2 linked regions of the Nothobranchius furzeri genome follow. The protein of the gene in region 1 purifies or fractionates together with the protein of each later gene. This does not show direct contact. Links are inferred from orthologs where the notes say so. Each region holds a gene or a part of one and is shown in the gene's direction. Other genes may lie near its edges.

Region 1 (3,649 bases):
GAGTAGCCAGTGAAGTGATCCCAGCTCTGGAGTAGTCAACAAACACGAAGGTGGCTGCTGTCTGCTTCAGTCGCTCTGATATAAGCATGATCTCGGTTCTCTCTTCAATTTTTCTAAATCGTGAGAAGACATTTTTGAACATTTTGTATTTTTTGTCATTTTCTTCAATCAGGAAAGAAGAAGGTTTCTCCAGGCAAGATGGTGGAGATGCAGGCAAAGATAGAAGAAGAGAGAAAAGCGTTAGAGGCCAAGTTGGACATGGAGGAGGAGGAGAGGAACAAGGCCAGAGCAGAGCTGGAGAAAAGGGAGAAGGACCTCTTTAAAGCCCAGTGAGTTGACAAAAATAAACCAACATGTTGTTGAATACTTGTGGAAGTTACTCATTAATAATCTAAACTTCTCAGGCAGGAGCATCAGCTTCTCTTAGAGAAATTATCTGCCTTAGAGAAGAAGGTGATAGTGGGAGGAGTGGACCTTCTGGCCAAGGCTGAGGAGCAGGAGAGGCTCCTGGATGAATCGAACAATGAACTCGAAGAACGTCGCAAGAGAGCCGAGCAGCTGCGTAAGGAGCTTGAAGAGAAGGAGGTATGAAACCAGCTGTCTGCTCGGTAAATGCAAATTCATTTACACAATAATCTACAGATTAGAAATCTGAGCAGGTGACCAAATAGTCATTTATTAATAACGCCAACTTTAAGCTGCATTTTACAGTAAAGCTTATTAAAACGTTGACTTGTTTACCGGTAATAATTATCTTGCTAAATCTAGACAAACCCATGTCTTCTACCATAAGCCTGCTGCCTCACCACCATCCTGCACAGGAGCAGACAGGATGTGATACCATGCTGCCACAGACCACACAGTTCAGTCAAATTGCTTTCACATTTTGGTTAGAAAAGGGGTTAAAACCTTTGTTTCATTTAATAACGATGGAGAATGGTGCAGTGGTGCAAGGTTGTAATAGTTTGTAATGGAATCTTGTTTTTGGTGTGATCTGTGACTTTTGTTCCTCTTAAAACAGCAAGAACGTTTAGACATAGAAGAGAAGTACACCAGCCTGCAGGAGGAGGCTCAAGGGAAGACCAAGAAGCTGAAGAAAGTCTGGACCATGCTTATGGCTGCTAAATCAGAAGTAAGCAAAACAGATAAAACCTCATTTCATGTAGCTTAACTTTCACCTCATCATCTTCAAATCAACACCTCAGCTGGGATACCACTCAATGTCAGCCCCTACCAGCTCTAAATGCTCACGCCAGACCATAACTGTGCTACATTATAAAACACAGAGGAACCAAATGTGCTCAGACTCAGTGGCGCAAAAAGTGGGTGTTCAACGTATGTGATGCATAGGGGACCCAGGCTGGAGGGGGTGCCAAAGCAATGATGCTAAAAATATTTTTAGTCTGCATGTCCTGTGCTTAATAACAAGTGTGTACTTGTTCCTTTTGGTGTGTGTGTGTGGGGGGGGGGGTCAGACCTTCTCCCCAGTGGACAGACTGGGACCGAGGCGACACTACCGACTGATTGGCAGGCTGAAATTACACCCATGGGGGGGGGTTCCCATGCGCGATTCATTTTCATGCTGGATGCTGTTGAGTAAACCTCTCTCTCTCTCTCTCTCTCTCCCTCCCTCTCCCTCTCTCTCCTCTGTGTGTGTGTGTGTGTGTGTGTGTGTGTGTGTCACAAGATTATGAGGACACACAGCAAATAATGTGGTTCCGAGTTTCCAAAAGCAACGCAGCTCATGCCTGCCTTTGTTTAACTTATAATGGCGGGTATCGTGGACTTTCCCGCGTGTATTAAATGTCGCCCGCAGGCATTCCTGAGAAGTCCCTCAGATTTATATGTGAATACCACACCGCCCGTTCAAGACCGCACTCATGCCATCTAGCCAGACCAAACCCCGACCGTGCCAACGCTAATGTGTAAGAGCCATAGGTTCCTCAGTACCAGAGAGCAGTGCTGACCTTTTTATTATGTATAGTTTTGATTGATCAGGGATGAATTCATGTGGATTCATCGATAACTTAATTTATGTTATCTATTATTTGTTTGTCAGATGGCAGATCTGCGACAAGAGAACAGCAGAGAGATCGAGGGCCTCCTGGAAAACATCCGCCAGCTGAGCCGAGAGCTGCGGCTCCAGATGCTCGTCATAGACAACTTTACCCCCCAGGAATACCAGGTGTGTGTGTTTTCCTGACGTGCACTTTTTGAAATGCCTGAATGACTTTAGTTTGCAACAGGAACGCATCTAAAGTATTTAGCATTGTTGCTATTAAAACACCATTACTAGCTGGTGGAAAACCACATAGAGGGTGATTAAGGCCGACAAATATGAAGGCGACCAGAGGCAAAATTCCTTTGAGTGGCATGTGTAAAACCGTATTAAAGTGGCAGGGTGTAGTTTCCTGCCACTAGGATGCAGTAATACAAACAGTTCAGGGTAATATTACACCATATCTTCCCAACTGTCACTAGTTTAAAAAACATTCCAGTTGAATGTTACCTGTGGAGCAGAAAGCATGCAACGTTGGCGTGACTCCTCAGACTTTGATAGTCCTTCAGTTAAGTCCATAAAGCTGGGCGGACACTGTGCAACTTTTTCACTCGTAGCACTCAGCTTCAGCTCAAACTGTACGACTTCCTCGCAGAGCAGATCTCACGAGTCATGTGCTCACACTGCACGACCCACTTCTCGGTTGCGACCTGACTGCTCACACTGTACGTCTGGAAGCAACACGTCGGCCCTAAAAATGTGCTAAAAATAGCAGTTTTTACTCAACACGTCAGACTTTTTTGTCTTGTTTTGCCTGTTGTCCTTCAGGAGTGCTGCAGGAGGACACACAGGGATTTATGGGGTTGGATGACGAAAACGAAATAAAGAAAGTAAATCTGTGTTATGTGATCAGTTTAATTTGACATGAACACGACAAACACGCTTTCTTGACAATCTTTGTGAGTAAAAAAACGTGTAGAAATAAAAACAAACAGCGTGTGTTATTAGGGAAATAGCGGGTGAGCGGTGTTGATGCAGGATTGCGCATTCGCCATGAGCGGTTCTGATACTTTTTGGGTCGCAGCTGCTCGCAGCACCGCTTCAACAGTGCGATGCCCTCACGAGGGACGAGCAAAATTTCAAACACGCCAGAAGTTTGTGCGAGCTCACGACTGCTGGTTGGTAGCTGGTCACGTGGTGTTAATCGCCTCTCGTTACCCCCTGTACACTACACGACGCTCGGCGCAAAACTCGCCCCGATCTCGTGGATTCTCGCACGACTGGAAAATCGGCTCAAAAAAGTGAAAAAGTCGCACAGTGTACGCCCAGCTTTAGAGATTGCAGTGCAATTGTAGTCTATTGCATCTCTTTTTCAATTCTATTTTATGTATGTTTTGGAATGAGTTTAGCAGTTTTGTTATTAAATTCATGTTTCTTAGTACTTCAATGGTTTTGAACATGGTAAAATAACTTCCGTAAGTCGCATGTCCATCCAATCAGCTAGTGTGATGTCATCGACAGGCGCAGGACCCAAGCTGGCCAGAAGAAAACATTGACAGGTGACGCTAGACCTGCACCCTATGCACTTTAGGCCCGATTTTTATAGTTAAATGGTATGGTTTTGGGGGGGGGGGTGCTGCTGCTGTTTGG
Region 2 (4,239 bases), on another chromosome or scaffold:
TATTCATTAAAAATACATTTAAAAACCGAGACATTAGAATGTATTGGTACTGTCACTGATAAATAATTGTCTTCTGAAACAATCTGATTATTGTTTCAATCATCTCAGGTTCTCCCGACCCTGCTGGTCTACAAGGCCGGGGAGTTACTGGGTAACTTCCTGGCTGTCACCAAACACCTCAATGAAGAGTTCTTTGCCACAGATGTGGAGGCGTTTCTCAATGAATACGGCCTCTTACCAGAGAAGGAGTTCACTGCGTGTGCGGATGATGAAGACGATGGAGCAGACGTGGAGTAGAAGATGAAGAAAGACAGAGAATGTCATAAAACGTGTTTCAATCAGGTCACATGCACGCAAATTAAAGAACGAGCACCCAACAGTCAACAATACTCATGCTGATGCCTTAGAATGTAGGCGTGAGGAAGTCCGTACAGAAACCCTGCTTTGCAGAAACTTGTATCATTGCACTCCAATAAAAGATATTTATTCGAACTCTTTCTGTCTGTTGAAATGGAAAACAGGAAGTTATTTCCATGTGCATTAATTCCAGATTAGGAAGATGCAACATATGGAACATTATGCTGCTGCTACCATGAAAATATAATTCCTCTAACTAAAAGGCTTGTGTAATGGTTTGCATTACGTGATGTGAATATGTGGTTTAAGCTAAATTAAAGTCATGAGACTCATGTGGAAATTGACCTTTCTGCTCTCAGAGTGATTATAAAGGCACAGAGGAACCAGGAGGACTTTACTGTCGAGAGGGAAAAGATAACTGATGTCTTTTGGGAACGTGGAAATTATTTATGTGGAAAAATAATAAATTCTGCTGTGCACTACCAAGTATTACATCCTCTCAGTATAGAGGTGGTTAAATGAAAAAAGTAATAGTAATTTAGGAAGCACTGATAATATTTATACATTAAATCCGAGTGGCTCTGAAGTGAGAACAAAGCGTTCTAAATGTTCTGGTTTATTTAGCATTTTTATCAGCATCCGTGTTTTGCCATCTCAAAACAAGTCAAATATAGTCCAGGTTTTAGACAAAACAAATTTTAAGCTCCTCTCAGAGTGACAGCTGGAAGCTTAATGTGCATCCCAGTTCATAGAGGCATTAAAGGAATAAAAAATCTGACCCCAAAACAATATGCACAAAATAGCAACATAGGATAAGGAGTAAATATTAGATTAAACCTTTTATCCCCAAAAAGACACACACAAAATATGAAAGTGTAAAAAGTAAAGTTATTATATATTTCTAGCCAAATTTTTCTTATTTTTTTTTAAATTAATAAATACTTAATTACATCATTAGAGTTGGAATCATATATTTCTATAACCAGTCCACTAGGGGGCAGTAGTGTTCTCTAAAGGCTGCCTGTTAAGTAGAAAAAGAATACCTTGAGGTTCAGCGGTCTTTAGAGGATAAATAAAAGACTCGAATGGTTGTTATTTGTCCAGGAGATCCTTCAGGTGATCTTAAATTGTTAAATTAAAAATTTGAAGCCATAAATCGGAAGAAAATGCAGGATGACGCGCGGTACCTCAAACGGTGAGTTGAAAGGTGCGGCTAGAACCGTACTGGCCGTTGAAATTAGCCATGTTGATATAATTTTAGGGATGACAAGTAATAATCTCTGGGTGAGACGTAAGAGTGTTTTAATTATTGTTTTAATTTGAATTCGTCCTAGTTTTAGTGTGCAGCTGTATGCTTGGAGGTTGAACCCGATGTCTTGTTTAAAATTTAGGGGAATTTAAGGTTCCGACGCTGGACTGAAGATTGGACCATTCCTGTTTATTTCGAATATAGGCAATTATTAACTATCCCGAGCCACGAAATCATTCGGCATAAACGAATTTCACACAGCTGTCACCTATAAGATACACTATTCCTGAAAAGCATTTCTACAATCACCGCCCCCTGCTTCGTTAGCGTTTAGCTCATCAGAACGAGAGACCAACAACAGGATTTTAGTATCATGTGCTTTTTCTTGCATCTGTTTCTGGAAGAAACGTTTCAGTCGCAATCCTCCTGTTAACTGTAATAATCAGTGGAACTGCTCCAGAGAGGAAGGAATGCTGGGAAATCTGGGCTCCTGCTAACCCTGAAGATTCTGTTAAACATAAAAACAATGTAGCCGGATAATAAATCATACTAACTAGGTTTATCACGGGACATTTGATTCAGTGTTGTAGCTGACGAGGTTTAGCTTTTTTTTTAAATAAAAGCAGTCTTTGTTATGTTTGTGCATGGGCGTGTCCTACTGCTTTTGATCCAGGAACACATATAATAAAAATAGCTGTCACTGCCAAGAGCTTATTACTGCATTCAACATTAAAGAGCAAGTCACCCCCAAATCAACTTTTTCTTGCTGATAAACTATATAAATGTGTAACTAACTGTGCTGCAGACACGTGTCGTCAATAATTTGATACTTCAGTGCATCTTAGTTAAAATTTAAATATTCTGCCTAAAACTGTCAGTGTTGCGCTGTTGTCAGGTAAAAACTCTGCACTGCATTTGAATTTAAATCTGCCACCGCTATTGGCTAAGAGGTATGCTATGATGTAAACTGGTCTATTATGATGTCACAATGCCATTGTGAGCCTGTGTGTGTGTATTTGTTAGTGGCTCCGCCCTCTCGGTCTGCTAGGCAACAGCATTTGTTGCATTTTTCAAACATGAAGAGGGAGTGAAGTAAGTTTCTTGTAGGGGGTGACTTGCTCTTTAAATTGCATTATGGAAATAATTGTATTTAACTCAGATTTACTTTGGAAACTAAAACCACAGGCGTAAACTGTTTATTATCATTCATAGAAAAGTGACTGCAGGCAGTTTGGATGTCCATCCCACTGAGAAAGCCCTTGTGGTCCAGTATGAGGTGGAGGCATCCATCCTGGGGGAGAATGGAGGTCCGATGCTGGGTGAACGCAAGGAGGGACAAAAAATGTGAGTAAGCTCCTAATTTATCGTTGACAGCATCTGCCCCTGTTCTTTATCTTATTAGAAATAACCAGTTAATGGCAGTTTTTGCTGGTTTATGTAACATGTTATGTGTCATCCTTCTCCTTTCCCCTTCAGAATCCGCGTGAAAAGCCTCTCTCCTACTACAGATGTGGCCGCTTTGGCCAGGAAAGTGGTAGAGGAGTGTAAACTCATCCCCGCCTCCCGCTTGCCACAGGTGGAGCAGCTGCTTTATTACCTACAGAACAGGAAATCCTCCCCAGTGGAGGCCAAAGGGGGTACGTTTAGAAGCTTTTACCTGTTAGCTCTGATTTATTGTTCAAACACACCAATAAAGTATGAGAGGGACTAACTGCACAGTGACATTAAGAAGCAGGATGTAAAACATTCACTGCTTTTCTTGTTTGCCTTTAGTGGAAAAGAAAGAGAAGAAAACAGTGAAGCCTAAAGATCTGACACCATTTGAGGGAACGGAGGTAATGATGTTAAGTACTCGTTTCATTCCTCATTCGTTGTGTTAGGTGTAACAGTGTGTGTTTCTTTCTTTGTTGTTTTATTTATTTTTCGTGTGTAGTTGAACGAGGAAGCTAGCATAACAAAGATGGATGAGTATGTTGAGCTGCTTTATGAAGGCCTCCCAGAGAAGATCCGAGGCTCTGGTCTCATTTTGCAGCTCGCCCGTAACCCAGATAACCTGGAGGAGCTGCTTTACAACGGTACATGTTCCTTCCAACATGCTTACGCAGCCATCCTCTAGTTGTTTAGCGTGAATTTCTCCCTGTTTGTGTCTACAGAAGCAGCTTTAGGTGCGCTGGCCCGGGTTCTGAGAGAGGACTGGAAACAGAGCGTAGAGCTTGCTACTATTATCATTTACATCTTCTTCTGCTTTTCAAGGTAACCCTGATGCACAGCTGGCGTGATGGTCCTTCAGTACTTCTAAATGATTCATCCTTTCACATCCCTTCCTCCAGTTTCTCCCAGTTTCACGCTGCAGTGAGTCACTATAAAATCGGAGCGCTTTGTATGAGTGTGGTGGAACATGAACTGAAGAGGCATGACATGTGGCGTGAGGAGCTACGCAAGAAAAACAAAGCTTATATCCATTTTCTGCTATCATTTTGTCCATTTAATTTAAGATGATCGATTTTTTTGAGGTCTTCTGTATTGTTTCTGTTGCCCTTGACTATCTTTTGTGCACGTGAGTCTGCGCCAGAAAATGGCTCCTTAAGACGAGACCAGGACAAAACGCTGAGAAAATACCAAGCCCTTCTGGC

Evidence for each region. The genes of interacting proteins can lie anywhere in the genome.
Region 2: the proteins of kif3a (region 1) and kinesin-associated protein 3 purify together in Homo sapiens (co-immunoprecipitation; 9 studies listed by BioGRID and IntAct, counting the BioPlex papers as one, with this or other methods). This does not show direct contact. The link is inferred for Nothobranchius furzeri from reciprocal best matches to the Homo sapiens genes KIF3A and KIFAP3.

Annotation. Positions count from the first base shown.
Region 1 is NC_091741.1:97,907,733-97,911,381, forward strand, and holds part of kif3a (kinesin-like protein KIF3A), read left to right. Parts: intron 1-172; coding exon 173-329; intron 330-404; coding exon 405-585; intron 586-1,021; coding exon 1,022-1,132; intron 1,133-2,059; coding exon 2,060-2,185; intron 2,186-3,649. UniProt on the Homo sapiens protein: Microtubule-based anterograde translocator for membranous organelles. Plus end-directed microtubule sliding activity in vitro. Plays a role in primary cilia formation. Plays a role in centriole cohesion and subdistal appendage organization and function.
Region 2 is NC_091751.1:58,727,765-58,732,003, forward strand, and holds the start of kinesin-associated protein 3, read left to right. Parts: upstream 1-1,390; 5' UTR 1,391-1,523; coding exon 1,524-1,552; intron 1,553-2,818; coding exon 2,819-2,950; intron 2,951-3,082; coding exon 3,083-3,243; intron 3,244-3,379; coding exon 3,380-3,441; intron 3,442-3,539; coding exon 3,540-3,681; intron 3,682-3,759; coding exon 3,760-3,859; intron 3,860-3,936; coding exon 3,937-4,061; intron 4,062-4,163; coding exon 4,164-4,239. Other genes in the region: pdca (phosducin a), read left to right, coding at 109-297. UniProt on the Homo sapiens protein: Involved in tethering the chromosomes to the spindle pole and in chromosome movement. Binds to the tail domain of the KIF3A/KIF3B heterodimer to form a heterotrimeric KIF3 complex and may regulate the membrane binding of this complex.